Tamandua tetradactyla: one gene and its partners. The protein of the gene in region 4 interacts with the protein of the main gene of each other region in a biochemical or structural test. Links are inferred from orthologs where the notes say so. Each region holds a gene or a part of one and is shown on either strand. Other genes may lie near its edges. The genes, in order: CD2, PRPF6, LRRK1 and CD2BP2.

Region 1 (7,976 bases), on a different chromosome or scaffold from region 4:
TGTTGGGGACTTTTAAATCCTTCTTGGCATTTTATTAATATAAACAATGCAGTGATGAACAATCTCGGGAAGTTATGTCTTTGTTCATAGCCTCCCTGTAAGGGGGCTCCCTAGAAGAGGCATGGATGGGTCAAAGGGGAGCACTTTATTAAGACCTTCCCATGGCTGAGCATACCATTTACCTGTAAGGTGCCCTCCAAGACCTCTTCAGCAAGAAACTATGAAGCCCATTAGAGAGGGGCAGGGAAGCTGGGGTCTGTGACTAAAGCCACAAGAGGCATGGAGAAACAAAGAGATGGGGGAGGGCACTCTCGTGGAGCAGACACGTCTCGTGCCCCACGCATGGCAAAGCACATTTACATACGTTGTCTCATTAAATCCCTTAATGTCTTTTGCAGTATTTTTTTTTTTAAACCACATTCAGAGCAGATCAAGAATTCCGCTCAAGCCCATGAGCAAGTATTGGCGACAGGACCCCATACCGAGTTAAGATATTGAGGGATCTTCATGCACCCCCAGCAAACAGCAAGGTGCTCATTACGTCATGGGAGAGTCACTCCTCTTCCGCCAAAGGGTATGAGGTTTCTTTTGGGGGTAATGAAACTATTCTAAAATTGATCGTGGTGATGTTCTCACAACTGTGTGAGCATACGAGAAACCACTGGATTGTACACTTTAAATGGGTGAATTGTATGGCGTGTGAATTCGAGCCATACAATTATATAAATAAATAAAGTTAGAAATAACCATCCCTGCCAACAGGGGCCCTGGGTTTGAATCCTGGCTTCGTTCTTTGGTCTTTATGAGACCTTGGGCAAGTTGCTTCTGTCTGAGTCTCTGCTTCTTTATAGGTAATAAGGGATAATAACTATGTCTTAGGGTTGTTGTTGAGCTTTAAATAAGATGATGTACATGAAGCCCCTGACATCTAGTGGCATCAACTACTGGTAGCCATTGTGGTCACTCTGATATGAAATGAGGCATGAATTGGACAGCACCAGCATGGCTCTGGTTGATTTAACAGGGCCCTTGAGCTCATGCTGGCTGGAGGTGTAGGATCTGTGGCTCCCAGAGTCCTAAACAGGAGCCCCTTCTGGCTCCATTCTCAGCCCTACACCATTTCTAGATTATATTTCCATTCGAGGGGGCAGGACTAGGGTTTCAAAAGTTGCCCTTTGCTTGGGTCCCAACAATCTCTGGGATTGTCGGAGTGGGGCTGCTGTTAAGTCCCCAGGCTGAGCCCTGGCCTGAAAGTGTTACCCCAGAGAAGAGGAAGGGCCCCTGCCTTGGGTGGCATTTCCTGTGTGAAGTACAGAGCTGTTTGTTTGCTCACTGAATCACAGTCTTTGCTGGGGCTGGATTCCTGCCTTCCTCTCCAAGCCAAGTGTCGGGTCATCTTCTCATTTCCCCTTACTGCTCCCTACCCAGTGTCCCTTGGACTTTCAGCCTTGTTATCATTTCAATTCCTCTTTCTCATTCCTCAGTTTATCCTGCAAAGCATCTTGTCCATCCTTTTTCCATTCCCGACCCTCAGTAGGCTCATTCTTCCTCCTTTTACAGGCACCCAAAAAGTAAAGTCTAAGCCAGTGGTTGACAACCTCGATTGCTTATGAGAATCCCTCGGGGACATTTTAGAAATGCGCCCAAGCTGCACATTGAGAAATTCTGATTTTACCAGACTGTGGTTGGGCCTGGGTGCCGAAAACTTTTAACGGCATCCCAGCTGATTCTAAAGGACATGGTTAAGAAGCACTAGCCAGCCCCTCCTCATTTCACTTGGATTATAGCAGCACCTTCCTGGCTGGTCTTCCTCCCTCATCTTCAGTGACCACTCCTGCCCTCCCAAAACGCAGACATACAAAGGCACACCCTGTGTATTCTTTTTTAACACGCATCAGCAAAAATCTCTGTCCACCTTCAACCACTTTGATGCTGGGAGGACAGCAACAAGGACCTGCCTCCTCAAAGTCATTGTTTCCAGCCCTTTCCTGCCATAGAACGACTCCTTTTAGGGCACCTGGCTTGAAATTTTCTATCTGAAAATTTGCCGCTCTCTACCGAGCCGCTCCTTCCCTTCCCCGCACCCCTAACTGCTTGGCTCATCATGCACCTGGGACGGCCACCTTTTTCTCTGTTCACTTGTTCGCTTCCTTCTGATTAACGCCACCTTAATCCATGTTCTTGAACCAGTCCTGCATCCCCGTAGGCACCGGAGAGTTTTAGGCGGCTGAACTTGAAGGCCCATCAACTGTTTATTTCCACATGGGTGGATTCCATCTCTCCCACCAGCCTGTGGTCCCCACTGGGACAGGAGACGTACTTTAGATTTCCCTTACAGCTCCCCAGGAGGCCAAGGGAAGTGCTGGGGACATTCCATAAACATTATTAACCAACTTGCTAAACGGGACCCTTGCTGAAATGGAGGAATTTAAAAAGCAAAGACTTACCCAGAGTCTTCAACGTGAATGCTTTTTCCAGCACATGTTTTCCATTCTCATGATATACATTTACTATGTAGGTATTGCTGTAATTTCTCATCAGATTTTTAATTTTCAGAGTTCCATTCGGGAACACCTCGTACGGGTACGTGCTAGTTATTTTACTTTTCGTGAATCGTGCAATCCTGGTATTTCCAATTTTCCACTGTATATCACCCGTCGGCTGATTTACTAGAGAATCAGGAATGTTCAAGTAGAACTCACGGCCGAGGGCACCCCAGACCTCTTTAGGGACTGCACCTGTGAAAAGCAAGAAAGTTCCTGAGATCTGAAGATCCACTGCCAACACAGGTTGGGCTGTGGTCTCTTCAACTCTTGCACACGCCACAGGGTCTCCAAAGAGGCTTTTAGCTGTGACGATAGACACCCACACAGTAACTTACCTTTGGCAGAAACATGGAAAATCAGAAGGAAGCTGGCGAAAATTTCACATGAGAGGTTCATCTTTGGGGTTAGTTTCCTTGTTGTGATTCTAAGCTCTTCTTGCAAAAAAAGAATTGAAGCAGGACTGGTGGAACCCACGCCCTGAGAGCTTAACCATGTGCCCCGCTTTTTTTAGGTCCTTTTACAGGAGTGTAGAACAAACACACACACACACACACACACACACATACACGCACGCAGGCGCGCGCACACAAACAGAATCAGCAAAATAATGTGTCTGACGCTCTCCTTTGCTAAAGCAGGTGTGTTCGTGAATATGTGTTTTCTAATCATGTTGGGAGCTTCACAAAAATCTTGGGTGGGTTTCATTATCCCCACTGAAGAAAAGAGGAACCGAGAGGCTAATAAATCACCCAGGAGCAGCCTTTAGTAAAGGAGGGATCACATTCTCCCATCCAGCCCGTCCTCTATCCACTTTACTGTGTTGTCATTTAAATATGAGTAAATGTTTGTCAGTGACTAGCAGAATACAAGCGAGTATCCTACGATGTTGGAGTGTTCTAAAATTGTTTTTGTGATTTAAAAAAGGAAACAAATATGACTTGATTCTCAGCTATAAATGCTTGGAGTCCCCAAATCTTATGTTGCACTATACATTTTACAACTCTATTGTAATTTCCACAGTTAAGTAAACAAAAACTTGTTCCAAAACAACCAAAGAAGCATAAAAACTATGAAATACTATTAAACAACCCGAACTAATGATTTAAAAACGTTTACGACAATTAACATTTTAGATGGTTAAGAGAAAGGGATGGATATGGAGAGAGAAAAACAAGTGAAAGGGAACTGGGAGAGAGAGAGAGAGAGAAAGGAAATTTGTAATACAAAAAAGAGAAACAGTGAGACAGAGATGGATGCTCCCGGCGAAAGATTCACAGATACCCCAGTCATGGGACATCAATGACAGATTTCCAAAGTAAAAACGACACATTTCCAAAGTTAATATCCAGTTTTATAATTCTTTAGGATACAGTGAGTAAAATCTTAAAAGTTGTGCTTTTTTTTTTGTCAATTTCAGGTAAACTATGGATATTATCTCTGAAAAAGTCCAGGAAATGAAATTAAGTCGAAGGAAAGGATCTCTACCATTGGGTAAAGGGAAGCCTAACTGAAATACTTACCTCACGGTTATGTGAAAATTCCTAACTGTCAAATCACCCACAGAAAAACAGTTGGATTAAAGTTTTAAATGTTAAGAAAACAAAAAAACTATAAGAGTGCAAAAGAAATATAGAAATCCATTTTCATTTCTTTGCATATGGAAGGTCTTTCTATAAAAAATTAACTTTCTAGAATTAATAAATACAGACATGAAAATTCAAAGTGTATGTAAGCCAAAAATATAGTAAACAAAATGAAAAGACATGACAGAAAATATTTTCTGTCTATGTGAAAAATTATTACCTAAGATATAGAAATAGTTCCTTATCAATCAGTAAGAAAAAGAACCTGGTTTTTAAAATGGGCAAAGGACTTGAATGAACAATTTATAGAAGAAATATAAATAGTTAATAAACATACAAGAAGTTTAACCTCACCTATATTTATGTGTCTAATAGTACAAAATACCATTTTTTTAACCATCAGATAGGCAAACTGAGAAGATCATTTACATTATGGACAAAAATATGGGGCAAAACAAGCACCTTCATACAATATTGGAGTGAGTGTAAATCATTATCTCCAGGGAGGGGTCAGAATTTGACAATTTTCACTAAACTTTAAAATATATATATTTTTAAATTACCCAGTAATTATATATTTAAAATTACCCAGTAATTTTAGTTCAAGAAATCTGTCCTATACAAATGTTTGTGTAACATGCAAAAGTTTCGTTCAAGGATGCTTGTTGTAGCATTTTTGAGTAACAAAAATTTGCAAACAATTAAATTATGGTATATTCAGTTTATGAAATATTCTATAACAGTTCAAATAGAATGAAGAAGAACAAAATTAAGACATGGAATGATACCTTTGATAAATTACATGATAATACATAAAGTTATCAACTTCTGTGACGTTTGAACACATTTTTTTTAAATTGTGAAATATAACATACATACAAAAAAGCCATGAATTTCAAAGTACATTGTAACATGTAATTATAAAACAGATTTCAGAGTTTGGTATGGGATATAATTCTATAATTTCACAATTTCCCTTCTAGCTACTCCAAGATACTGGAGACTAAAAAAAAAAATGTCGATATAATAATTCAGCAGTCATACTCATTTTCTTAGCTCTCATGGAATAAGTGGAAAACAGCTTTCAGTTCTTCTTTTAGAAATATTCATTCTGTCCCTCTCATATCTAACTCAAAACAGCATGAGGTACGTGGCTTGGAGAGGAGAAACCATGAATAAGAAAAGGATTGATATAAGTCTGATTACATAAAATTGCAAACCTGTTTGTAAAAAAATTAATGCTTAAACTGTACAGAGTTTCTATTTGGGTCGATTGTAAAGCTTTGGTAATGGACTGTAGTGAAGATAGCACAAAATTATGAATGCAATTAACAGCGCTGAATTATGTATTTGAACGTGATTAAAAGGAGGGAAATGGTAGGTTGCATATATATTATTAGAATAAAAATTAAAAAACAAACATAGAACTATAAACACAAGCAATGAGCCGTGTATAACCAATGAGGCTTTGGACTATGTTTAATGTACAATTGTTAAAATGTTCTTTCATGAATTACAACAAATGTACCACACTAATACAAGTGTTAATAATAGTGTGCTATATGAGAACGCTGTATTTTATGCATGTTTGTTTGTAAACCTACAACTTCATTAATTAAAAGAAAGTCATAAAAAAGATTAAGAGATAAAGTACTAACAGGGACAAATTTATTTGTGGGATATGTGATAAAGGTTCATATCCTTCAAATTAAAATTCTGTTATGAACGTAGAAAGAAAAGACGATAACTTGATGTGGTGAAGATCATGAAAGGAACATTCACAAAAAAAGAAAGACAATAGAAGTATAAATCTATGAAAACATACTCAATTTATTAATAATCGAAGAAATGTAAATTTAAACATAGATGTCATACATTTTTCATCTTTCATAACTTACAAATGAAAATATACAGACAGTGCTGATGATTGCGGGGAAAAGGGCATTCTTAAATACGGTCAGGAGAAATGCAAATAGGGACGCAGTTTCTGGCTGCCAACTTGTCAGTCTGAATCAGAAGCATCAAAAACATTTTATTTAAATTTTGTCCTAACAAATCCACAACTATGATTTAATCCTAAGGAAATAATGATGGAGACATCCTAAGACTTGGTTATAAGTTTATACACCGCAGCATTTTTTGTATGTCAAAAATTGTCAGCTTAAATAGTCAATAGAAGGAAATTGGGTGAGTAACTCACCATATGGACAAACTGGGATGTAAAAAAAACAGGTTACAAAGAAAAAAACCAAAAAACAGTAAAGTCACTTTTTTTTTTCCTTAACAAGTGTGTGTGTGTGTCTGTTGGAAGGATTTCCTCCAGGCATTGATCCCTGAGGGATGGATAATGGTTACTGTTTTGTTGTTGATATTGTTATATTTTTCAATTGAACATGTGTCGCTTTTTAATGCCTTTTAAATTCTAAGTGGGTCCCCCAAGCACTGAGGGAGGGTGCAGTCCCTGATTTAGTGTGTGTGATTTCCGGGAAAAATCTGGTCCAAGACTCATCCTCCCTTACCACCCTCACTGCAACTGAAGGGGCGTGTCTTCACTTAGCATCTTGAACCATTTTTCTTACCCAAACTAACACTCCCGGTGAAACAGAGTAAAGGGACGAGATTAAGCAGCAGAAGAGGGAAGAAGGGCAGGTTCTTAGAGGTCTTGCTTCGGGGCAGCTTCCTGTCCCCTCAGTAGCAAAATCGTGACCCCCAACTCCTGTCTGCCTCCCTGCGTGTCACCCTAAAGTACTAACTGAGAACCAGGTCCCTCGCTCAGCACTGTGGCCACAAGACCCGTTTTCTGTAGTTCTTACCCAATCGAATGTCCTGAATCAGGAGCTTTTAGAGCAGAAAGACCCTCAGGAAGGGATCGGATTGCCTCTCCATGCTTCCCTGGGGACCCTGTGGCCAGAGAAGGTCCTGGGCTGTGTCTGTCCACCTCAGTCAAGCCAGCAGCTGAGTCCCTCCCTGCCTTTCCAACCTGAGGCCCAAATGCTAGGACACAGTGTACTTCCCACTTAAACCTCCCCCACCCCATGAGCCCCCTAAATTTAGGCAGTCACCAAGCCCAGACTTGCCCTCCTCTGTCTTCCCTCTAGCATCTCCTTGCGAGCCCCACACACTCAGGTGAGAACAATTGAAAAAGGAGCCCTGGGTCTCAGACTAAAATTCGCCATCCATTTTGGCTCCGTGGTTACTAGAAAGGCCCCTGGCATGGCTGTCTGCAGCCCAGACTCTGCTGACGCTGAGCTTGGGCCTATCTGGGAGGTCCCATCAGCGTCAGATCCGAAGTCATCGGTTTAGGGTTAGGTGTCTGCCAGGCAGTGGGCTGGGCCTCTCACACAAACCACTCCCACATAGCCAGCGGCTGGGGTGCCTTCCACCCGGAGACATGTGCTCTTTCCCAATTAGGAAAGCCAGTCTCCAAGAACCTACTCCTTCGCCAGGCACTGCTTCCTTCGGGGGCCCAGACTGGGTTTGCTTTTCCTCTTGGGCTTCCCGCCCACACAGCCCAGTGGGCAGAACCAACCCACGATGATAGCTCGTGTGCAAAGATGCATGGATTCCTGAGATGACAATCACCAGCCTGGAAGTCCCCAAGGGGGAAATGCCCCTGAGAGAAGATGGGGTGAGTGATTGCCTGCCCCCAGTTTTATATACTCATGTGATTAAAGAGAAAAGTTCCTTGGGCCAAACAGCCCCAGCGCAGCACTCACCCGGCATGCAGATGGAGCTGTGTCAGTTCACGCCTCCATCCTCTTCCCACATTTGCGAAAAAGGACAGTACTCAGTTCAAGAGGTTCTCCTGAGAACACAGGAGTCTCGCACGGTGCCCAGTCCTTAGGAG
Region 2 (7,543 bases), on a different chromosome or scaffold from region 4:
ACCTTCTTTCTTTTCTTCTTTCATCCATCCTTTTATCCAGAGCTGCATAAATGGCATCTGCTTCCTCATCGTCTTTCTCATAGGGTCCACTGGAGAAGAGACTCCCAGCATAACCGTTAAACTGAAAACCAAAAATTGTGCTAATGAGGTAAGCATTTCCTCCCATACAAACCCCACCAGTAAGAGAAAACATCTCTAGGTGGAAAATGCTCACTGAATAATCTCTTTCTTCATACAAACCAAAATTAAGAGATAAGCTACAAAATAACTGATCAGTGCTTTTCAAAATTGTCAAGGTCATGTTAGACTGAGGAGCTGTCCCAACTGAGGAGACTAAGACAACATGATGACTAAACATAACAGGTCCTGGACAAGGTCCTGGGCCAGAAAAAGGACATCAGTGGAAAAACCGGCAAATTTACATGACCTATAAATTGGTTAATAGTACTGTATCAGTGTTTAATTTTCTGGTTTCAATAATTGCACTAAGGTTATGCAAGACGTTAACATAAAGGGAAGCCTGGTGAAGGGAACTCTGAAATTTTTTCTGAATTTTTTTTTTAATCTTCCTGTCACTTAGGAAAGATGCCATTTGTTAGCATACACCTGAAGGAAATGTCAACTCACCAAAGACCAGTTACCCAACTCACTAAGAGGGTGAGAACTAAAGTAAAAGAAAACAAATGTTATCACTAATAACACTCTAAGCTTTCATCACTAAATACCAGCCAAGACAAAACACCAAGGCAATGGTTCTAATATTTGCAAGTATATTTCCTCTGAAGAGACAGCAAAAGAGCACATTTCAGTGTTTTTCCCTGCTCTCCTCACACTCTGCCAATGGCATCCCATGAACAGCTGAAATATGAAATGTACCTGCCTTCCTTGAGCATGCTGGGTAAGAAAACTGGTCAGCCCTTCTAGGGACTGGCAGGGAGCCCAAGGAAAGTCCACGACACAGGAGGTCACCTCATAGGGTCACCACATGGGGTCAGTCACCTCATCGTAGTTGGTGTCGTTCAGATCTTCGTCATCATCATCTGCAGCCTGGTTTTTCTTCATCTGGTCACCAACGGTCCTCTTGCCTGGCGGTGCATGGCGGTCATCTACTGGGTCATTTGCGTCCCGGGCGGGCCCAATGTCTGACCGGGTGGTGAAGCCAGTGGCACTGCGGGAGAAAGCTGCTCAGGGGATCCAAGAGGCCCACCTGCACATGATCCGGGTTACCCTGTTCCCGTGTTCTCCCAACCACCCTCCTTGATAACCTACAGCACCTTTTTTTCTAACATCTGTGAGAAACCTCCAAAAGACATTGGTGGCTATTGTCTTTGGGCAATAAACCTTCCAAGGGGGTTTATTGGGGATGCCAAGGCTCCAAGTCTTCCCTACTTTCTCTTCCACACAAGATGCCCAGAGAATCAAGTCATCCTTTCTCCTAAGTTCCAGCCTTGCATTTCCAACAACCTACTGATCATCTCTACCTTGACATCCAATGAGTCCCTCACACCAACTTGGCCCAAACCAAGTCCTCTGTCTGTCTTGCTCTGCTCTGGGCTGTTTCAAGTGGTGATGGCAGTGCCAAGGCAGGCACCAGAGCATCACCTTCGCCTCCCTCCTTCCTCACCTCCGACCAATCTGTACCCAAGTCCTACTGATCCTACCTATGGGCTATCTCCTCTCCCGACCATAGGACTCCCATCTGGTTGGGAGGCAAATGAGCCTTTCTGCCTCTGGCCTTCTCCTGCTTAAACCCATGCAAGCACTGCTCTAAACAGGCCATCTCAGTCGCCACCACTTTTCCTAAGCCTAACTAAGCTCAGACTGATGTCCAAGGCCCTGCTGACCTCCAGCATCTTTCCCTTCACCACATGATCCATTCACACTGGCCTCCTGCTGTGCTTTCTTCCTCAGTGCTTCTCCCTTTTTTTTTTTTTTTAACCCACACAGAATGTCAGCTTCTGCTCTACCTCTGCCACCTTTCTACATCTCTAAAGTCAACCCTCCTTCAGAACCTGGCTCAAATGCTGCCACAGAGGATTCCCTAGTCTTGGGAACCCCAGAGTTCTCAATCAGTTCCTCTTCAGGTTATTTATGCAAATGTCTCACCTCACCTGAACACCCACGAGAGAAGCTCGTTAGTTTTCCTAGTCAAATGACTAACTAAGCAAAGAAAATAAAGACTGTTCATTTATTCAACAATGTATGTGTTCTGTGTGATAAGCATTGGGACCGGATTTCAAGCCTCGCAGATGCCATCCCTGTCCCTGGGGGACTAAGAGTTTAAACAAGCAACGTGAACGCTACTAGAGAGAAAAAACAGGGTACTAGAAGCTGCTACAACTGAGGCGCCTCATGCAGCCTGGATAGTCAGGAAAAGTTCAGTCACGTTTAGGTCAAGACCGGCAGGAAGAGTGGGTGATGCCTGGCCTGGGGAGGACACTACACATGAGTTTCTACTCCAGGGTGGTTTTACAGCGATATTCCTCAACACGGGTCTCTAAGTGAAAAGTTACATCTCTGCTGAGGAGCAGGGAGATTCCTACTTAGGTCTTTGCTGACCCCGAGCCCAGCGTTTCCCACGAGGCTCGGGCCAAACCACCGCCTGTCTTTCAGATTGTGTGGCTGCAGACTTTAACTTTTATTATTGTTCTTGTTTGGCAAGCTACCCTAAGTCCTGCTGTCTCCAGGGGTTAAGCGTGGATACAATCAGAACGGTCCTTCCCAAGTGGACAAAAAAGCAGAGATGCAGGTGGGAGAAGGCCGGGTCAGAAAGGGAGAGTGATACCCAGCCCGATTCCGTCTCCCTCTCCCTTCCCAAGCGCACCTCCCGCCGCCCCGGCCCCGCCCCAGGACCCCTCCCCAGGCACACACCTCCCGCCGCCCCAGCCCGGCCCTCAGTCCGCTCCGCAGCCCGCCCAAGCCTCACCCGCGGCCCAACCCCGGCACATAGCCCAGAGGCGCAGGCATGCCCAAGAACGGTTTCTTCTTCTTGTTCATGGCGGCGGCGGCTTGATCGGAAAACTACAAGGCCTCAAACGCAAATCCAGGAGCACTGACGCCGAGGCTTCGCCGCGGACACAGGACGCGTCCCGCGTCACCCGCGACCCGGAAGCATAGTTCGCGGTCCGCGCGAAGCCCCGCCCACCCGCGGGGGTTGGGCGGAAGTTCCTCGAACGCTGTTTCCGGCAACTCCAGACCACTGCTGTAGTGCTGGGATGCTGGTGGCCACGTCTGCTGGTGGCCAGGTGGGCAGCGCCCGTCCGGCTCGAAGGGGTCAAAGGGCCACAACACCCAGGACAAACCCTGCGGGACCCTAACATGGCGCCTGTGGCATTTCTGTTTTCTGAGTGTTGAGTGTTCTCAGATGCGTTTCGCGAGGAGGCCTTCCTGTGCTAACAGGACCCCTCCCCATCGAAGCCAGCCCGGCTGCCAGGGTCCCATCCTATTCGGCCTCCGCTAACCCCCCTGCCCCTCAGAGCTGCCCTGGTCTTCCAGACAGGCAGGCCCTAATGTCATCTGAGCAGAGCTGCACGCCCATGTGTGTATGTTCTGATTGTGGGCAAACCTGTCTGTTGTGCATCTCTTGTACACAGATTCCCCGGCCCCAGTTGAGCCGCTGGTCCCTGGCAGTCAATCCAGGGACTCCCGCTGCGGTCGGGCGGCACCCGTGCCCTCAACCGTTCCCTGAACATTCTGGTGAGGGCCCGAGCCCTGCCTGTTTTGTTCACTGCACGTCCCCAAGCCGAGTGAACATCAAGGCCCCTGCAGACATGTCCACATACACGTCAGTATGTATGCATGGGCAGTCACAGCATGTGGGTAAATTCTGTGTCAATGTTGTGTATTGGTGGGATGTGCTCAGGTCAGGTTGCATATGTGTGCATATATTTCGGTGGACATGTATGACTGAAATCTGCATGCATTATTGCATGTGGATGTGCATCTTTGCTCATTCTGGCTGGGGAGGCATCCTCCACTCCCGAACATACCTGGGGGAGCACCGAGGCCCCTCCCACTCTTGACCACATCTGCTCTCTGGCAGAGCAGGCAAAGGCCAGCTGGTGCTGGGCAGGGCGACCACACACTTTTCCCTGTGCCCTAGCCCACCTCAGCACTTTTCACTGGGGAACCCAGAGCAAACACATCCCTCCTATCTCATATAGCCTCCCTCTCCCCTGCAATCTTTAACTGAGCCTCACTCATCTCAGTCCCTGAGATGTGCAGGGTGCTGCACCAGACGCTCAGTGTCCTTCTGAAATTCACAGGATGGTGGGGACAAAGGAGAGATAAAACTGGTGTCTCCGAGGTGACCATGCCGGGCCCACTGGAGGAGAGGTCTGTAGAATGCGAATGTGTGAATAAAAGAGTGAACGAATAAATTAATGAGGTAGTGTCTACGTGGGACATGACTCCCAGGGGTGTGGACCTTCCTGGCAATGTGGGACAGAAATCCTGGAATGAGCTGAGACTCAGCATCAGGGGATTGAGAAAACCTTCTCCACCAAAAGGGGGAAGAGTGAAATGAGACAAAGTATCAGTGGCTGAGAGATTCCAAACAGAGTCCAGAGGTTATCCTGGAGGTTATTCTTACACATTATATAGATAGCACCTTGTTAGTAAGGATGTAGTGGAGAGGCTGGAGGGAACTGCCTGAAAATGTGGAGCTGTGTTCAGGTAACCACGTTTCTTGAAGATGATTGTATAATGCTATAGCTTTCACAATGTGGCTGTGTGATTGTGAAAACGTTGTGTCTGATGCTCCTTTTATCCACCTCATCAACACACGAGTAAAACTTGGAATAAAAATAAATAATAGGGGGAACAAATGTTAAAAAAAATTTTGCCTGAAATGCTAGTGATCAATGAAAGGGAGAGGCAAGGTGTATGGTATATATGAATTTTTTTCTGTTATCTTATTTCTTTTTCTGAATTGATGCAAATGTTCTAAGAAATGATCATGATGATGAATATGCAACTATGTGATGATATTGTGAATTATTGATTATATATGTAGAATGGAATGATCAAAAGTTACGAATGTTTGTGTTTGGTCTTTTTTGGTATTTAATTTTTTTTTTAATTAATTAAAAAAAATAATGAGGTAGGTAACTTGAGGGAGGTGTTAGGAGGGTCTGCTCTGGCTCTTGGTTTGGGCTCCTAAGGGTGGATGGCCCAGAAGTAGGTACGATTCGCCCCCCTCACCCCAATACAGGGGACCCAGTAGTCCCCACGATCCCTACCTCAGACGCAAGTTCTCCTTGCGTCTTCGGAGCCCTGCCAGGTGCGGACGGACGCCCTGTGCCCTCGCATACAGTCTTTGCACACGCAGACCCGAGCGCGCGCGCGCGTGCGCGCCGCCACACCGCCGAGCTCCCAGAGCGCGCGGGGCGCAGGGGCTCTGCGGGCAGGTGTCTCGCGCGCAGACTCGCCGGCCGCGGAGACCCGGCGCTGCTGACCACAGCGGCTCAGGCGCGACGACCCGCTCAGGCGCGGGGGGCGCGGCGCTCGGTGGGGCGGGGCAGCGGCGCGCGTTCCCCGCTACCACACCAGCCGCGGTGCGCTCGGCTAGGGGCGTATGCGCGCGGGCCCCATGTTCACCGAGCTGAGGTCCAAGCTGAGCCCCCCAAGGGGTGGCGCCGGGGCCGTGCGCGCCGGCTTCGGGGAGCGCCGGGATGTGGATGGTGAGCGGGGCCGCGCCCGGCTAGGGGCTGTGGAACGAGGGAGGCGGGACCCTGCTGGCTTGGAGCGGTGGGGTGCTGAGGGGGGCGGGCCCTGGCCGCACAGGGTCCCCTTGGCCTTTGTCCTGTGTGGAGGGTCGGAGGAGGGCAAGTCGACTTAAGACCTTAAGGACCAGTGCGCCCTTGGCCGGGCTCCTGTCGCCAGGCTGGCAGCACACTGGGGTCACCTTTTTCTTCGCGCGCAGAAAACCCTATCTGGCCCTGGCAGCGAGGCCGAGAAGGTGTGAGGTCACAGCCCAAATTGCTGCCTACTCCTCATTCCCTGCTAGAATTCCGACGTTAGACTGGGAAGGACCCACCGACCTGTGGACGGAAGCCCCTTCCCCTAGTGCCAAGCAGGAAATGGGCGGGGCCCGGCCAACCCCGGGCAGGTGCGCGCGGGGGCGGCCGACTGGCTTCCTGGAAGAGTGCGGGGAGGTCCGGGCCCAGCGCCTCTGCCCTGAATGGTGCGGCCTTAGAATAAGTCTTTGCCCACGTTACTAGAAGACAATTCTCGGGGTGGGGCCCACACCGACCCCACCCTCCGAGTCTGACTCACCACCTCAAACTTAGAGTCACTTAGGTACAGGTGGAGGGCGTAATTCCCAACCTGGGGGAGGTGGAAAGAGAAGGGTGGGATGCTGATTTGCTTGTGGGGAGACTTCCTGGGCACACGCCCAAGCCCGGCCCCAGGCGGTGGGGACCCGGGATTGGTCTTGGAGAGGAGGTAGGGTCTCTCCTTCTAGGGCTAAAGGGGGAGAAAGGAGCACTGGCCCTTGGCCTCAGCACGGACCCCTACCCTGCTGACCCAGAGCTTGGGTCCCAACTTCCTGTCTCTCCCACCACTTCTCTTGACTTTGCCACACGGAGCTTTCCCCTTCCACCCTTCCTGCCTTCCCTTCTTTCTTCCTTCCCTCCCTTTTGCTCTCTCCTTCCTTTCTTCCTTCCTTCACAATGTTTCTCATGGACCTTCTGGCTCCTATCAAGGTGAATGTCCTGCCTGATCTCATTTCAGCAAAGATCCCAGAAATGACTGTAAAGCAGATGCTTGACAAGGGTGATGCAGCTGGTGGGGGACGAGGGAGTCTGGGCATGCCATGGTTCCCAGGCCTGATGCGTGTGCCACACCTGTGCTGAACCAGTATGCGCCTGCCTGCACTGCCACATGCCCAGTGCTGACCTGGGCCTGGTGACTCCCCATGGCCGGGCAGGGAAGGGGGCAGCCCATGCAGAAGGCAGCAAGGCAGGAAATCCCTACATGTGTTTGGGGAATCCTGACTGTCACTTGCCCAGAATTCGGATTTCTCTTCGATGAGTCATGTGGGTGAGCTGCAGCAGGGGCTCGGTCAGGCCTCGAAGACCTGGTGCAGCTACAGAGACTGGGAGTGGTGAGCGGTAACAATCAGGAACACATGCTCAGAGGCCCCCACTTACACACGTCCAGGTATCGGGGACACTGAGGCCAGCCTTTCTGGTGGCGGGTCCTACACATTTGTGTGTGTGTAACACATGGGCCAGCCCCAGCTAGGAAGGAGTTGGAGCTGCCTAGGATAGAGTCCTCACCTAGCTAGGGGTCAGTGACCCCCTGTGAGCTGGGAGACAGTCTTTCCTGCTGCAGGCAGTCCTCTGTCTTCAGAGCACAGGCTGGGGCTTGGAAGGGGAAAGTGTTCACAGTTCTTCATCTTTGGGCCTGGTGGCCACCTCGAGCCAGCTCCCTTCATGATTCCTCCTGCCTCTGGGGGCTTGGGACCGTCATTAGTAGAGGGGAAAGGGGGCTGAGCTGGGAGCTGGCTGGGGGAGAGGAACCTCTAACTTCACCACTGGCT
Region 3 (7,470 bases), on a different chromosome or scaffold from region 4:
AAAAATCTGACATTTAAAACTTCAGTTGCATGTCCGATTACTTAAGCTTACTAACGTCCAGACTATACGTCCATCAAGTCATCACATTTTGATCTTTTGTGTAAATTCCAAAGTACCCAACAGAGAGGAATGGTCCATAAAGTAGCTGAACACAGTTTCTATGGAAAGGGTAAGGAAAGCGCCCATTCTGAATATTTCTCTTTTCTGTGATCACAGAGGCGAGTATGCCCTCAGTGAGTACACAGAGGTGAAAACCGTCACCATCAAACTCGACGACAAGGACCACTGAAGTTCAGGCAGAGTCCTTCCTCAAACATTTGACAGCTGAGTGCGGCGGGCGACACTTGCCGAAGAAAAACAACTACATTTCGGACTTTCCCGGGATGCCTCCCCCTGGAAACTTTCAGTCGACTGGATTTGAACGAGTTTGTTTTCCTCTGACTCTATTCTATTGATCTAGCTGGGGATGCCCGTAGGTTGTGTGCAAGATTGTAGCACTGTCCGGGCAGAGCTCTCAGCCATTTCTGTCTTCCCCCTTTAGACCAGGTCCCGGGGGACAGGGACAGTGCTCACCACGTTGTTTTCAGGGGGAGTGGCATTTGAAGTGTCCAATGGTTGCTTAAAAATGCTTTGCCGAATCTGACCACGGTAAGAATTTGGAAAAAACTCTCGGCAGGGTCTGCACGCCTGGCCCTGCCTTTGTGGTGTGCTCGGCTCACCTGCAAATAGAACAAGCACTTCCTCCTCCTGGGATAAGACTGAAAGGCACTGTTCAGTGGGAAATGGACTAGCGCTGAGTTAAAACTAATAAAAAAAGGGATTGTGAGGACCCACTGTGGGGAGCTTTGGGGAAGCTCATACAAGCTTTGGGGAAGGTTGCAGAAGGCTTTGGGTGCACGTGGGTCTTCAAAGACAGGCGCACTGAGCATTGAACACAGCTGAAAACCAATACCGCCTTTGCAATATAACTGAATCAACAGCCCAAAGAGCTTATTCTAAACATATGTCATGGACTATCAAGGCACTTTCTTAGGCAAAACAATTGTTAGAATCACCTTTGCTGCTAAGAATCCAATGCTCTGGCACTAAGACAGTATAGCACATCCTCCAGTAATTGTCTCACAATTTAAAAAATAAAACAATACAGCAATAATTCACTTTTACAGGTTATGCAATGCTGCCACATTCGTTAGTGGTTTATGATAAGCCTATATACTTTTTCCTTCTTCCAGTTTGGTTATCCATTTTAGGTTATTAAAGCACACACAACTGGAAAGAAACGTGTCATAATATAGCCCTGTTTTTAAAAAGCCCTGTTTTGGATATTAATTTCTGATTAGTCAACAAGTAAGGCATGGACTCCATGGAGGAGTGGGGTTTCCTACTAGATCCAAGTCTGAACACTTCACTAACAAGTTGTAGAGCTGTTCCTGTTTGTGTATCCAAATCATGTGCAATTTCCTCTGTTTCAGCTTGGAAAACTGAAAGTGTTTCCATATAGCTTTAAAAAAAGAGAGAAACCAAATTTTATGTTCCTCAGATGCTTTTAATGTTACTAATTTGTACTTTCCTAATTGGAAAATTATTACTTACATTTGAGAATTAAGTTGAGGGAGGGGAGGCAATTATAAAATTAAGTTCACCATCGAAACCAGTTTGTGTACAAAGGAAGCCATGTGCGAAAGAGGGTTTTCATCCTTGTCAGAAATCCACAATATATAATTCACACCCTCTCCATCAGTTAGCACTTACACTACCAAGAATTTGTTAAATCAGGATTTTATTTCATACACTGAATTTTCAGTATTTTGTTCTCAACTATTACACTAACCTTGATCATAATACATTAGAGGGTTCTTATTCTTTCATTGTACAATAATGCCTTTAATATGAAATGCTACATTATTTATAATTGGTAGAGTTATTGTATCTTTTTATAGTTTGTAAGTACACAGAGGTGATATGCCTTCTGTAATATACTGTATTTAGAAATGGAAATCTATATAGTGTTAGATTTTACTTCTTTAAAGGTTTACCCTGTGATACAGTTTAAAACCCTATTGGCCTGGGAATTCTGATCCTAACTGCAGATTAAGTTACAATGGAGCTATGATCAAATAAAATCGGATATTTGAGAAACTTTATGCTTTTTCATTTGAGAACCAAACCCATTTTAATTCTCTGGTTGAGTTTTTCTCTTTCCTAGACCTTCTATGCAAAATGACCTGTAATATAGCAGTACCAGTGGCTGAAGAATAAAATTACATTTGCTCAATTGATCAGGCCTCAATGCTTCGCCTGTGTCTGTGAAAAACACTGGGGTTGACCAGGCAGGGAGCTCTGCCTTAGTGGCTCTGTGTCTTCAATGGCTAGACTTAAGCTGGTCATCTAAGCTGATAACGTTTGCCATGTGTGTGGATAGTTGCATGAAGGGTTGTGTGCAAATTTAGGGAAAACATTGTATTCCCTTTACTGTGTCCATTTTTTGGTTCTCTCTCCACAAGGCACTAGATATTTGGGTTTAACTTACCTCAAATTTCTAAGACTTCTAAACAAGAAGCCTCAGTCACCAAGTCTCGAGTTGACACAGAGATTGGATCTAGAACATTCCTTATACTTCATTAGGTTCACCAAGGTCAAACTGTGCATTTGATTTCAAAAATCCAAAACACTCTTGCCATGTGTTGGCGAAGCACAGCTCCATTAAGAGAAAATTTGGATCGGATCCCTCGTAAAATATTTAAGAGAGGGAGCCTTCCAACTTGAGGTGCTGAAAAGCTGGGTGGAATACTGAGCACAATGTGAGAGGACCATGCATTAGCAGGGTGAAAGAAAGGAGAAAGGAATCATCTGACCTGTAAGGACCTTCCCATAAGAACCTGATAAGTCACCCCCAATGGATAGAGCTGACTGATGGGGAATAGCCAGCTCAAAATGGGACACCCGTGTGTCGAATGTTCTGTCTGCTTTTCGTATTGGGGCCATTTTCTATCCCACTAACAAACTCTTTTATAAGGGAAGTGAAGCATTACATTGGTGCCTGTCCACTCCAAGGTCTGCCCGGGACTAGGCTGCGCTTCCCCACCGAGTCGCTGGGTGGCGGGGCCGCGCGCTGGGAAGGCGCCGCGCTCAACACCAATGACGCCCCGCCCTGCAAATGATTAGGGACTTTTCGATAGCCGCAATACTGCTGGCCTTGCATCCTGGTATTAGGAGGCCGATGGGAAAAAAAGGGATTGCAAAACTGCACCCGCCCTCTTGGAAGGGCGCCCGATGCAAGAAGGGTCTGAGGGGCAGCCGCCTGGGAGCAGAGCCAAGCTGCCCAGGTCCCCTCAGACAGCAAGGGGCCGGGCCCTGAGAGTCGTGGCGATTTGCCCATGTGCTTTGCGCTAAGTCCTGGGGCTCTCCCAGCCGTTGCCCTACACGAGAGGCGCCCCGGGTGCTTGTCCTGCCAGGGTGCGGAACGATTCGCTTTTTCTGAGCCCGCTTCTCCTTCCTCAGTGGACAAGAATGTCAAAAATCAGAGGGCTGCCTGCCGCGTGGACATGTGTGGGTGCCTTAGTGCCTCAGTGGGTGACAAACATCCTCATATATTAGGTTGAGGCATAATTAATCGGCCACATGGCACCATGTCTGAACTACAAATTTAAAAAGCAGACAGTTAAAAATGATTCACCAATGATGAATATGCAACTATGTGAAGATATTGAGAATTACTGATTATGTATGTAGAACCGAATGATACGTTAATGTTTTTGTTGTTCTTAATTTTTTTAATTAATAAATTTTAAAAAAATGATTCACCAAATAGCTTCATCTTTGCGTAGATCCACAATTAAGGTAGGTAGTCAGTTAAGGTGGTGGAAGAGGTGCAGCTTGCAAAAAAGAACATTTAAAAAAAAAAACACCCTAGTTTCATACAGCTCTGTAGGCAGGTTGCACTGGTATTTTCAACCCTTGCTTTGCGGGAATTTGGGCAGCATTCAAATGCGAGGTTAATCCGGAAATGATGATGCTGGACAGAGCAGAGGGACAACGAAAACCAGATTAATCCGAAAAGGAATTGATTAATCTGATTAATCTGAAGGGACCCGGTGTGCGTTACGCGGAGTCCCCAAACCTGGAGGAGGGCCTCGCTCAGGAAGGACCCTGGGGCCCAGTCATCTCCTGGGGCTGGGAGCAGGAAACTTGCTCGTACCTGCGTTTGCCGGCTGGGGGAAACTGAGGCAGGGCACCAAGGGGCCGCCGGGTCCGCACGTCGGTGGGAGCCGCAGCGGCGCCCCCAGCCTCGGGACGCCTCGGCCTCGCCCCGCGCTCCTCGCGCCGCCCTCCCGCCCGCCTCAGGATTGAGGAAGTGCGTCTGGTCCCGGCCCGGCCCCGGCGCGCCGCCCGAGGCGCGGGGGGCGGAGGGCGGTCGGAGCGCCAGGCCCGGCCCGCCGGTGTCCTCCTGCCCGCCCCGGGAAGCCCCTGCTCTGCAGCCCGCCCGCCGCCGCCGCAGGTAAGCGCTGCCCGGGCCGCCGGGGTGGCAGGCGGCCTCCCGCATCCCGACCCGACCCCGCGGCTCCCGGCGCTCGCCCCGGCCGGGCCCGCACTCGGGGGTCTGCGTGGAGCCTTCTGGCCCTGCGCCCGCGGGCGGCGCAGCCCGGGCCCCGCGTTCGGGGCGGCCGCGTGGTGGGGGACCGGGCGCCCTGACCCAGGGGCCGCGTTCACATCCCGAGGGGGCTCCCGGGGCGCGGCGATCACAGCCCCGATTCCTGAAGTCGCGCGTGAACCCGAGCCACCCCCCCGCGGGCCGGGGCGGAGGCGTGTGCGGGGCCCAGGGGGAAGCCCCCGAACCCCCGATCTCTGCGCAGGACGGCCCCGGGACGGCGAGGGGGAGGGGGAGCAGCGACAAGAAACAAAAGTAGGAAAATCCACCAGGCGGGCGTCTCGGCGTCTCCTCCGCCTTTGGAGAAAACTCCTCCTTCCACTTGGAGCGCGCGCGTGTTTGTGAGCGTGAGTGCGAGGGTGTTGGAAGGGACAGCCCCGGGCTCTCACTCTCCCAGGGGCGGCCCGGGTGATGCGGGAAGACCCAGGGTGCCTTCACTGTCCACAGTCAGGGGCGTCCTGGCTCAAGGGTAGCATCTCTGGCCGGATATTAAGACCAAAGGCCTTCCCTGCGGGTGACCTCCCCTGCGGGTGACCTCCCCAGCCGTCACAGGGGCGGTGAGATGAGTGCAGCCCGGGGCGCCCCGGGGGGTTGGCGGGAGATGGTGATGGGGGAGGCCAGAGCTTGCTTGGTGGCCAGCCAGACCAGGTGGCCGTTTGCAGTTTGATGGCCACGCACAAAATTTTTCCTCCCACGAACACAAGTGCAAGCAGCGGCTTGAGAGGCAGAGAAACCCAGGAACCGAGAGCTGTTTTTTTTAGCTAACTCCCACCCCCACCCAAAGAGTAGATGATTTTTAGAGGTATTATCAATCTATTGGAATATTAATGATACAACTAACATACGCAGGGTTTTGGTAAATGGAAACAGTTAAATATTTTATTAGGATTTTCTTCTCAGTATCTTTGCTTATGTCTTGTAAGCATAACTTAGGTGAAAACGTAAGGTTATGGCATACAAACCTCACACCTACCAAATTCTTAAAGGAGCTCTTGATGTCAACCAACGCCCTCTCTTCCCCCAGGCTGCTGCGTGTCAGGGAGTGGCCCTATCTCAACTCAGTTGCTATGAACGGATCCCTAGGCGTTATCCTTGATCCCGTTTTCTCATGCCCCGAATACAGTTCCTCAGTAAGTTCCGTTGGGGCTACCTCCAGAGGTGTCCCAGGGCCATCCACTTCTTTCTCAGCCTCCAACCCTAGCCCAAGATGCCAACACCTCTTTCCCCTAGGATTGCTGTCTTCCACCCTACCCCACCCACTCCATTCTCTAGGAACCAGAGAGGTTTTTTTTTTTTTTTTAAGAAAAAGAAAAGGTAAATAAGATTATGTCACTCCTCTGCTTGGGAGCCTTCAAGAGCTTCTCCTTGTAATTGGCATGAAATCTAGAGAACCCCTTCCCCTCTACCCCTGCAGGATCTGGTCTCTGTCATCTGGGAGGGCTGCCCCACTGGACTCCCAGTCACCCTGACTGAGCTCAGTCCCCAGTGCGGGGCCTCTGCATTGCTGTCCTTTGACTCTTGATGAGGTTGATACCTCAGAAGGTTCTAGAAGGCCTGCCTTGTCGAACCTGGCTAAACCCACCCTCCTTCTCTCTCACATCCCTCTCTTTGTGTCCTTCTTACATTCTCCGCTGTTTGTGTTTGTGTATACTTTCTTTATTCCATTTCTCTTTTAATTACCTGGCTGTTCCCCAACTTTGGCTTCCTGGGGTTAGAGACTGTGCCTAACATGTTCCTCACCCAGTCCCTGATTCCTAGAACCCTGCCTTGCACAGGAGATGCCCAGTGCAGACTGTTGGTGTAACTGAATGGTGAATGGGACAGCCTTCACTTATTTGTGGTTTCGGGCTCATGGGTTCTTCTTTTGCCAAACCCTTAGGAACTCCTCTAGGTTTGAGAACCACACACTTTTCCTGTGTGCAGCTCCATGATTATCTTGATATTCACAAACCTGTCAATGCATTTTGAAGACGAATGGATATCAGTAAAGGGATACTAATAATGCTAAAGGAAGGTCTAGAACCATGGAGCAATCAACTTGACCAGGCTTTTGATTTAAAAAGGAGCTGGTCTGTGTTAGTATTTCTAATGTGTTTGTTTCTTTTGCAAGTGTCTTGCAACTCTGGTTGTGGCAGCCCTTTCCAAATCTCTTGAAAGAAAACAGTGTGGGGGGTGCGGGGTCTCCTGTTTCTTCCCTGATGGAAACTTTGTAGCTGTAACTGACTTGACTTCCTCCCCACCAGCTGTAAGTTTCATGAACTCACGAAGTTCATGCCTCACAGAAAGGGCTCAATAAACAGTTGTAGAATTAACAGCAGGTTCCTTGTTTGTTTGTTTGTTTTTCCAATAAGTATTTAGGTTTATTCATTAATGCAAGTATAAGGGATTAGCAAATGGAAAAAAAATTGAATTTTGAAAAATATCTAGGACAATTATTATTTCAGAAATCCTCTTGAAGCCCACCTAAGAGGTATATATCATAATGAAAAGAATATATATATACATATATATAATTTATGACCATGAGTTATTGCATTGGTCTGAACTCAAAAGAAAAAGGAGGAAGCAAAGATCAGTTTGAGGGCAAAGATAGCGTAAAACTTGTGTTACCTCATCTTAAAACTATTACCTTAGAGTATAAACAAATGTACAAATTATAATTAAAACTGCTCCGGGGGCAAAATCCTCCTCTGGTAAAGTGATTTTCAAAAGGAAACTGAAAATGAAAAGGGGAACAAAATATGCTGGGTGAGGGTAAGCCTAAAATATTTTAAAGATTTTTTTTTTAGCTCTAAAACATTGTATGGTAAGACATTTCTGTT
Region 4 (7,822 bases):
GGGATAGAAGAGGAGCCAAAATATGAAAACATACTGGCTCTGAAGATCTTAGAGGTCTTAGATAATATTGACTTACACAACCTGTTTCTGTCCGACTTCTAAGGAGCTTGAGAGAGTGGGGAGCCAGTGAGGAAGATGCTTCCTGCTCACTCCCAAAAGGATCACAAAATCTACCAGATGTCCCAGCCATTCAAGGCCTAATATTTCCACTCCTGGGGCTCTATCTCCTGCTGGCTGTGAGAACTGAGACTCTAATGTCCTGAAGGCCAAAGTCCTATGAAGAGCAAAACAGGAACTAACAGAGGAGCCTGGAGGGTGAGTGATGGGATTTTCAGATGGCAGAGTCCAGGTGGGGAGGCCACGGACATTTGACAGGCCCTGGATCTGCTCCACAAGAGTGGTAAACAAAGATGAGGTGATTGGAGAGAACACAGAGAAACTTCCAAGGAGTAACTTCATGGGAGGCAATACTCAAGGACTGAGGTGACTCCATAGGGGCTGTGGAAGAGGCCCCCTGCTTCTGGTCACCAGCAGAGCCAAGGCCCCAATACACAACTAAAGGCATTTATTGGGAAAAGGAAACTGAGAGGTGGCCCTCAATGTCCTCACTGCCTGAGGCAGTTGGGGCCAATTTAGAGTCCAGGAAGGAAGGGGCCAGTATCCTGGGCCCGCAATGGGCTCAGGTGTAGAGGTCAAAGTCAATGCGTTTGGAGTTGTAGAACTGACCACCAGGGGGGTCCAGCTTCCGGCAATATACACCATCCGAGAAGTAGCCTTCATTCACCCAGGTCTGCAGGGAGAGAGGGCAGAGCTGGGGGAGGACTGGAAGCAGGGGGAAGGGTAAGGGAGACAAGGCAGAACAAAGCAGAAAGGAGCTTACCTGCATCTGGGTGCTGGTAAAAGGCCCATAGAGCTCAGCATCCCCTGTGTTCTCCCACTTATATTCCCACATCACTTCCGCCAGACCATCCCCAAGTGACTCTGCTTCTAAAACAAGAGACAAAGCCATTTGGGCCTCAGTTGCCCTTCCCCTGCCCACAACCTTCCTTTTCTGCCCTCTACACTTACCTCTCTGGACAGCGGTTGGCGTCTCCAGCTCCCTCTCTGCCACTTCCTCAGCGAACATGTCCAGAGTGGGTGGGGGTGTAGGATCATGAGACCCCTGGGTCCGGCACCCTAGCCCCTTCAGTCGCATGGCCAACCGTTCCCGAGTCTCCTGATACACACCAAGGTTGCCCCGGGCCACCATCTGGTCAGCCAATCCCGAAAGTCGATCCAGGCGCTGGGGGGAGCTGGGCCGCCCAGGACCCTTGCTGCCCCCTTTGCCTCCTCCTCGGGCTCCCAGGCGCCTCAATGCTCCAGCAACTGTCTCCCTTGGCAGCAGCAGCTCCAGAAGGCCCTCCAGGAGGGCTTGGGCACTCATCGGTGTCTGGCCCAGACTGTCCTCCTCCTCTGAATCTGAGGCCTGGCGCTGATCAGGTGGTCGCTCCCGGATCTTTACCTGTAATTGAAGACAAAGGACTTACTTCCTACAAACTGCCAGAAGGCCCCAGGTCCAGCACCCACTGCCCCCAGGCCACAGACATGCCATCCCCTGGGCCACACCCAGTCAATGTTGTCCAGCCAGCTGTCTCGGATCTGAGCATCCCGGTTCAGGAAGTAGTTGCCATCTGCATCAAAGTGGCCTTCCTCCATCTCTTCCTGCAGGTTGAAGGGCGTGATTCGCACACCCCCCTCGCTGGGGAGTGTGGCTGCTTCCTGACCTGAACCAAAGACATAGACTCTCTATGTGAGGCAAAAAAGAGACAAGAATCTCCCTTGCCCCACAACTCAGAAGCCCCTCCTTGTCCCTCCAGTTGAGAGTCAAATTTTGGGGTATGGCTCACCTTCCACATCCTCTGAGGCCAGGATGTCATATTTGCGGGACCCCTCCTCGTCGTCATCCTCCTCATCACTGTCCAAAGAGTGTTTGCCTTTGAAGCGGCTCCCAGGGCCCCCAGCCACAGGGTCCACCATCTGTATACAGGTGAGAGATGAAGGTTACTGGCTGCTCCCCAAAACATTGACCCAAACTGAAAATCCTCCAAACCCACTCCTAAAACAATATGGAAAAGCCAACCCTCCAACATCTTTGTCCCACCAACTTCCTTCCTCTTCAGGCTTTTGCCTCCTCTCTACTAGTCCCCCAGAACGCAGGAGTCTGGTCCCCTCACCTTCTTCTTGGGGGCAATCATTTCATCCTCATCATTTTCATCCCCCACGCCCTGGAAGGTCACTTTCCTCTTTGGCATGACGGAACGGTGGGATCCCCTAAGCTGTGCCGAGAAGAGTGGAGAATTAGAGATCTGGGCGAGGTGGAGACTAGCCACCAGAGGGCCCCTGGCACAGCAAATTTTTCTTCCGGTACATGCCAGGTCCAGTTCGGGAGGCGAGGGAGCATTAGAGTCAGGAGCCAAAAGCGGAGCTGGCAGACAGTCGACCTCAGGGGTTTGGTCTGGCATTCAAGAACGTGGCTGAAGCAGGGACTGTAAAGGATTTTCCCATGGCCACCGTCGGTACCCCCATTTTTGACCAAAGGAGAGAGCTTCCCCCATGTGACCACCCTCATCCCCAAGCCCCGCAGGCCACAGCGAAACAGGGCTCCGCGGGTTACACCGCAACCCCCTCCCGCCGCCCAGTTTCCAGAGACCGCGGGGCCCGCGCGGACTCAGGACCTGGAGTCCGGGCCTCTCTGCTCCTTCTTACGCCGAACTCCCAATTCCGCGGGGCAACCCCTAACTATCCTGGGGTACGAATACAAATTAGAGGGACGGCAAGCATACGAGGATCCCAGGAAACCCACCCGCGCGCGATCACCTGGGGCTCCAGGGGAGGAGGGGAACGAAAGCAAGAAGGCTGTCGCTAGAGTTACATCCGGGGCACCCGGGCGCCACTACCCGGAAGAGAAATGCGGAAGGCGCCAAAGAAAGCCGGAAGTGGCTTCACTGCGTTTACACTAACTGGAAGAGCGGGCGGAAGTACTCAGGGAAAGAGGGAAGACACCCACCGCGAGAGGTGACGTGAGCTGCGTGGGGAGGCCATAGCAAGAAAAGAGGATATATGGATGCCTGATCATACCAGAGAGGTGGCAGCAAGTGGTTTCGATTCCGTAAGACAGCAGTTGAGGCTCTGGGGAAAGTGGAGTCCACTCGGTTTAAGAGGGCGCCAGGGGTCTGGATAGAGGGGCAAAGTCCAAGCAGAATCAACGATTCCTGCCCTAGTTTTTCTTTCCAGTGTTCGAGTCACCCTTCCTACAGGGCTGGCCAAGGGTTCTGCGCCCTCATCATTTCTGAGAAATTCTCCCTTCCTACTCAGAGCGTCTAATATTCTGCCATCTTCTTTCATAGCCTGGGAGGAGTGGCTTTACTCTTTTTCCCGTCGAGAGGAAGCCCGGCTCTTCAGATGATGCGCCTCGGGGGCCCTTGACCACACTTTGGTTTCAGAACCCAGTTCCCTTTAGGACCCATTTGCCCCATGCCCCGCCCCAGGATGAGCTCCTAGTTTCCAGGTCGGAAAGCCAACTCAGTGGGACCAGTGCGCAGTATCCAGGCCCCAGGCCCCTCGAACCCTGCTGTCAGGTAGGCATGAAAAAGGGTAGCAGCATGTGTCTGAAACTACAGCCACAGGATAAAGCTTCCCCTTTACCAAACAAGGCCCCAACCTGTGGTGCCTTATGCAGGTGATGAGTCTTGGCCAGTGCTGAGAAGCTGGGGTTGGAAAGAGGGAAAAGGCCCCCAGCTCTTGTGGACATTCAGAGCCTGAATCCCACTAGGCCAGGCCAGGCCCAGAAAGAGCCCACTGGAGCCAGAGGGTAGCATGGAGGGGCGGGCAGGGAAATCTGCTGGCCCACCCCTCCTCTGCCTGCCCCAGTATTTCCTCCCAGTTTGGATCACATGAACCTCTACAAAAAGTGCTTAGTTTTTTTACATGGGTACAGAGCACACCCCAGATCAGGACATCTTACTGAAGAAGAGGGTCTGAAATACCAGCTACCAGGAATACTGGTTTATCTTCTGGGGAAACCTCTTCTATTTGGAGCACCAGGTGGATCACCTAGTCTCATCTTGCTGGAAAACTGCCAGGTGGAGCTGTCTATCCTGACCCCTGGGGCAAAAGGCACAGGATGGGAGGATCTACAAGTTGGCCACAGAAAACCAACAGGGTCTGAACGCCTGGCTGTGGGCACTGGCAAGCTGAAGGCAACTGGCTACACCTGCTACCTGGTCTGGAGGCCCAGTACTAGGAGCTGTACCAGGCAGCTGGCTACCAGCCCAACCCATCCCCAGAGGACTATGGCTCCCTAGTCACCCTCAGTGCCCCCTCTGGCTTCTAGGAGCTTTATGAGTGCTTTGGGAAGGAGATCTGGATGCTGCAGGTGGCACAAAGAGGGCTCCAGGAAGCCAGTGTCAATGGAAGCAGCAGATGCCAGGCAAGGCTGGGCAAGAGCTCAACCAATGTTTGTTAAGAAGTGACTGAGAGACGGACCAAAGGCCAAGAAATACCTGCAATAATCAGCAGACTGCTTCAATACAAACCCAGGTCCTGGCTTCCCTCTTCCTCCCTACTTCATACCCCATCCTTCCTCACCCAAATAACAAGGCACGAGACAGGCCCAGGTACAACAGCAGATTCTTTTCCGGTTCCTTAAAGCGCCGCACAGGGCAGAGACAGGGACAGGAGAAGAGAATGTAAACATGGGTCCCACCCTCTGGAGCTCAAGGAAAGACCCCTTACTCAGTTAGGGGCTGGAGGGTTGGAAGGAAACAAGGTGAAAGGTGGGAGGCCCTGGTGAGAAAAAGCAGGGGAGGCCTGAGAATACAGAGGAAAGTGGGTGAGGAAGAGGAAGCACAGAAGGGCAGTGGAAGGGGAAGTGGGGGGACATTTCCTATTCCGGTGTATGTCCCTTAAATTAATGGGTACAATAGCATTGTGGAAGGAAAACCAAAGGACAGAAGACAGAGCAAGTGCCCCTACCCCAGGCTGGCTTGGCCCTCAGTACATAATTACAGCACATAGATGTCCAGAAGTAGAGTGATGAAAACCTTGGCCCCCAGCCAGGAAGTGGGGCAGACAGGCAGGACTGAAGGAGGGAGACTCTAGCTCCACCTCATGGATAAGAGGGCAAGAGTCTGAAAATCACTTACTCCCATTGCCAAGAGTCACCACTGGTGACAAGAGGTCAACCAGGACCGTACCTGGGAGGGGATCCCAGAAGCAGTTGGGGCAGGAGTAAAAGACCCAGGCTGGGCCTAACTGCAGGTGAGGGACACCAAGACTTGTCCATGGCTGTCCCAGGGAAACACAGCTGCCCCATATAATGCGACTGTCTTGACCGTGTAGGAGCAGCAGATGGCAAAGAGACAAGGAATCAAGCCACTTTCCCAAGAGGGAGAGATGGCCTGCTATGGGAGCTAGGGACAGCACCCCAGGCCAGGCCTGCTCTTGGCTAAGGGGAGAAGGGGGCCATGCAGTTCAGCCCCAGGGGAGAAGTCAGAAGTAAGCGTCCTGCTGGACCTCAGCTGCTGAGGACTTATCCCCGCCATCCTGAGGGGCTGGGGGCCCATCTGCCTTTCGACGCAGTGAAAGCTTCCGGCCTTGGGCCTTCTTCTCCTGCTTCTGCCGCTCCTTTTCCTGCTTCTGCCGCTCCTTCTCCTGCTTCTGCTGTTCTTTTTCCTGCTCTTTTTCCCACTTCTGCCGCTCCTTCTCCTGCTTCTCCCGTTCTTTCTCTTGCTTCTGCCGCTCCTTCTCACGCTCTTTTTCTTGTTTCTGCCTCTCCTTCTCCTGCTTCCGAGTCTCCTTGCTGGAACCCAAAGGGGTGCTGTTGCCAGTAGGTGAGGGAAGGGATGGGTGCAGTCCCTCAGCGGTGACCACAGGCCCTGGGGCAGGCCCAGCACTGGCCCTGCGGACAGGAGGGGGCGGGGAGGGGGGGGCCCCACTGGCTGCACGGGTGCCTCGGCTCTTGAGGCCAGGGAGGCTGAGGAGGCTGGAAGAGGGGCCCAGGGGTGGCTGCTGCCGCCGGCGCTCCTCGTGGATGGCCCGAGAGCCATGCAGCCGCCGTGAGGGACGATACTGCAGCTCTCCCCGAGTTTCTCGCCACTTCTTGAGCTGGGTTGTATTTTCCCGCTCAATCAGTGTCTCTGTCACTGGGAGGTTGGTCACCTAGATGGAGAGGAAATGGGTACAAGAATGAATATGAGGTGTGGGGATGGGCCAAAGCAGGTGTGAGGTGTGCTGAGGTCAAAGCCTACCTCGTGCACCAGAAAGTCCTCCTGCATGCACTGCTGGGGTAGGTTGCGTAGCTGCTCCATGGTCTCATACATGCCTTGGCAGGAACGCAGCTTCTCCACCGAGCCCAGCGTGTGCCGCAGCAGCACCAGGGCCACTCGGAAGATGATCTTGACGCCTGCAGGGTCAAGGAGAAGAATATGGGGGGATCAGGCCTGGGATTTTGGCCTGTCCCATTTAGAAGGGACTTACAGCTCCCATCTCTCCTACTGCCCACCTCACAGGTAAGGAAATTGAGGTCCTGGGAAGGGAAATTAGTTGCCTCATTTCTTGTGCCTGAGAGGGAGAGCAGGCCGTGGTCCATGGCAGAACCAAGAGCAGGCTTTGGTTTCTCTAGCCCTTGAGCTGCTTACAGCAAAGTTCAACAAGTACCTTTAGTCAGGGGGGCACCAGAAATGCGGCAGAGCCCTATGACAATCACTGTGGAAATCCAAGTCCCCTCATGGCCTGGGTGGCCACAGAAGTACCTTCACAGAAAAACATGTCCCAGACGCGCAGCACTGAAGCCCAGGGCAGGGTGCGGGCAAAGATGCACATGAACCACTCTGTCATGTAGAGCACAGGGTCAATGCGCTGTCGCCGCAGGTGCCGGTGTGCCAGTGGGGAGGCCCGGCGCAACAATGCAAAAAAGATCTCTCCGTCCAGCTGAATGGCCTCCTGGAGGTGGGATATGCCATGAGAAGAGGGTCTGGCCTGATGCAGCCCCCTTAGGGTGGAACTGGCCCTGGTAGTGAACCCTCACCTCAGGGAGGAAAAGCCCAGAGGAGAGGGATGGAAGGGCCAGGGTGGGACAGGACCTCCTTGCAGCCTTGGGGAAAAGTCATAGCCCCAGGTACCCCTAGATACTCACCAGCCCTGCACTGTAATAGCCAGGGAGGTACTTGTCACAGATCTGCACCAGGCACCAAAAGGCTTGCTGAGAAGGGCAAGAACAAGGAGGGCGGGATGGGGTCTGAGGAATGTAAAGTAGGGAGTTCCCTCCCCCCTCATCACCATTGCAGACCAACATCCTGCCACCCCCCGACCAGGACCAGTGTCTACTGACCTCAGCGGGCATGTGCATGAGCAGCACTGCAGCCACGGGGGCCTGGGCTTGGCAGTAGCCCTCGTCAGGCCGGTAGATGGTGTAGGCCTTGAGGATGCGATACAGATCCTGCTGCCTGTGGGGGAGAGGGAGATGGGAGGACCATCATGGGAGCTGGGAGCTCTCTGCCTCCAGCAGCCCCAGCCCAGCCCCAGATTAACCTCAGCATTTCACTCCGCCCCCAACTGCTTCCTAGTCCTGCCTTTGAAGTCCTTGCCAAAGGTTGAGACCACCAACAAAGCATTCCAGGCTCCAGCCCCCAACCCTCGGCTGCACACCCACATGCTCCCTACCCATTCCCCAGCACAGGCTGTGCTTTTTTTCCCTCCCAGTCTTTGTCCCTGCCTCCCTCCCTCATCCCATAAACCTTCAAGGTCATCTACTCCAGGAAGCTTTCGTATCTGCAGCATAGGT

What was found.
Region 1: the proteins of CD2BP2 (region 4) and CD2 interact in a biophysical measurement, tested with the Homo sapiens proteins (6 studies listed by BioGRID and IntAct, with this or other methods). The link is inferred for Tamandua tetradactyla from reciprocal best matches to the Homo sapiens genes CD2BP2 and CD2.
Region 2: the proteins of CD2BP2 (region 4) and PRPF6 form a complex in vitro, tested with the Homo sapiens proteins (2 studies listed by BioGRID and IntAct). The link is inferred for Tamandua tetradactyla from reciprocal best matches to the Homo sapiens genes CD2BP2 and PRPF6.
Region 3: the proteins of CD2BP2 (region 4) and LRRK1 form a complex in vitro, tested with the Homo sapiens proteins (2 studies listed by BioGRID and IntAct, with this or other methods). The link is inferred for Tamandua tetradactyla from reciprocal best matches to the Homo sapiens genes CD2BP2 and LRRK1.

Annotation. Positions count from the first base shown.
Region 1 is NC_135337.1:4,206,685-4,214,660, forward strand, and holds the start of CD2 (T-cell surface antigen CD2), read right to left. Parts: upstream 3,083-7,976; 5' UTR 2,943-3,082; coding exon 2,882-2,942; intron 2,739-2,881; coding exon 2,448-2,738; intron 1-2,447. UniProt on the Homo sapiens protein: CD2 interacts with lymphocyte function-associated antigen CD58 (LFA-3) and CD48/BCM1 to mediate adhesion between T-cells and other cell types. CD2 is implicated in the triggering of T-cells, the cytoplasmic domain is implicated in the signaling function.
Region 2 is NC_135327.1:61,424,259-61,431,801, reverse strand, and holds the start of PRPF6 (pre-mRNA-processing factor 6), read right to left. Parts: upstream 3,131-7,543; 5' UTR 2,998-3,130; coding exon 2,927-2,997; intron 1,169-2,926; coding exon 1,000-1,168; intron 122-999; coding exon 3-121; intron 1-2. Other genes in the region: SAMD10 (sterile alpha motif domain-containing protein 10), read left to right, coding at 5,576-5,681. UniProt on the Homo sapiens protein: Involved in pre-mRNA splicing as component of the U4/U6-U5 tri-snRNP complex, one of the building blocks of the spliceosome.
Region 3 is NC_135338.1:83,680,675-83,688,144, reverse strand, and holds the start of LRRK1 (leucine-rich repeat serine/threonine-protein kinase 1), read left to right. Parts: upstream 1-4,388; 5' UTR 4,389-4,498; intron 4,499-7,470. Other genes in the region: ALDH1A3 (retinaldehyde dehydrogenase 3), read left to right, coding at 217-289.
Region 4 is NC_135349.1:24,201,960-24,209,781, reverse strand, and holds CD2BP2 (CD2 antigen cytoplasmic tail-binding protein 2), read right to left. Parts: upstream 2,937-7,822; 5' UTR 2,857-2,936; exon of another isoform or gene 2,843-2,856; intron 2,837-2,842; exon of another isoform or gene 2,715-2,836; intron 2,316-2,714; 5' UTR 2,292-2,315; coding exon 2,214-2,291; intron 2,017-2,213; coding exon 1,887-2,016; intron 1,764-1,886; coding exon 1,606-1,763; intron 1,502-1,605; coding exon 1,069-1,501; intron 988-1,068; coding exon 881-987; intron 812-880; coding exon 680-811; 3' UTR 549-679; downstream 1-548. Other genes in the region: TBC1D10B (TBC1 domain family member 10B), read right to left, coding at 5,530-6,198, 6,288-6,442, 6,792-6,981, 7,175-7,240, 7,370-7,484. UniProt on the Homo sapiens protein: Involved in pre-mRNA splicing as component of the U5 snRNP complex that is involved in spliceosome assembly.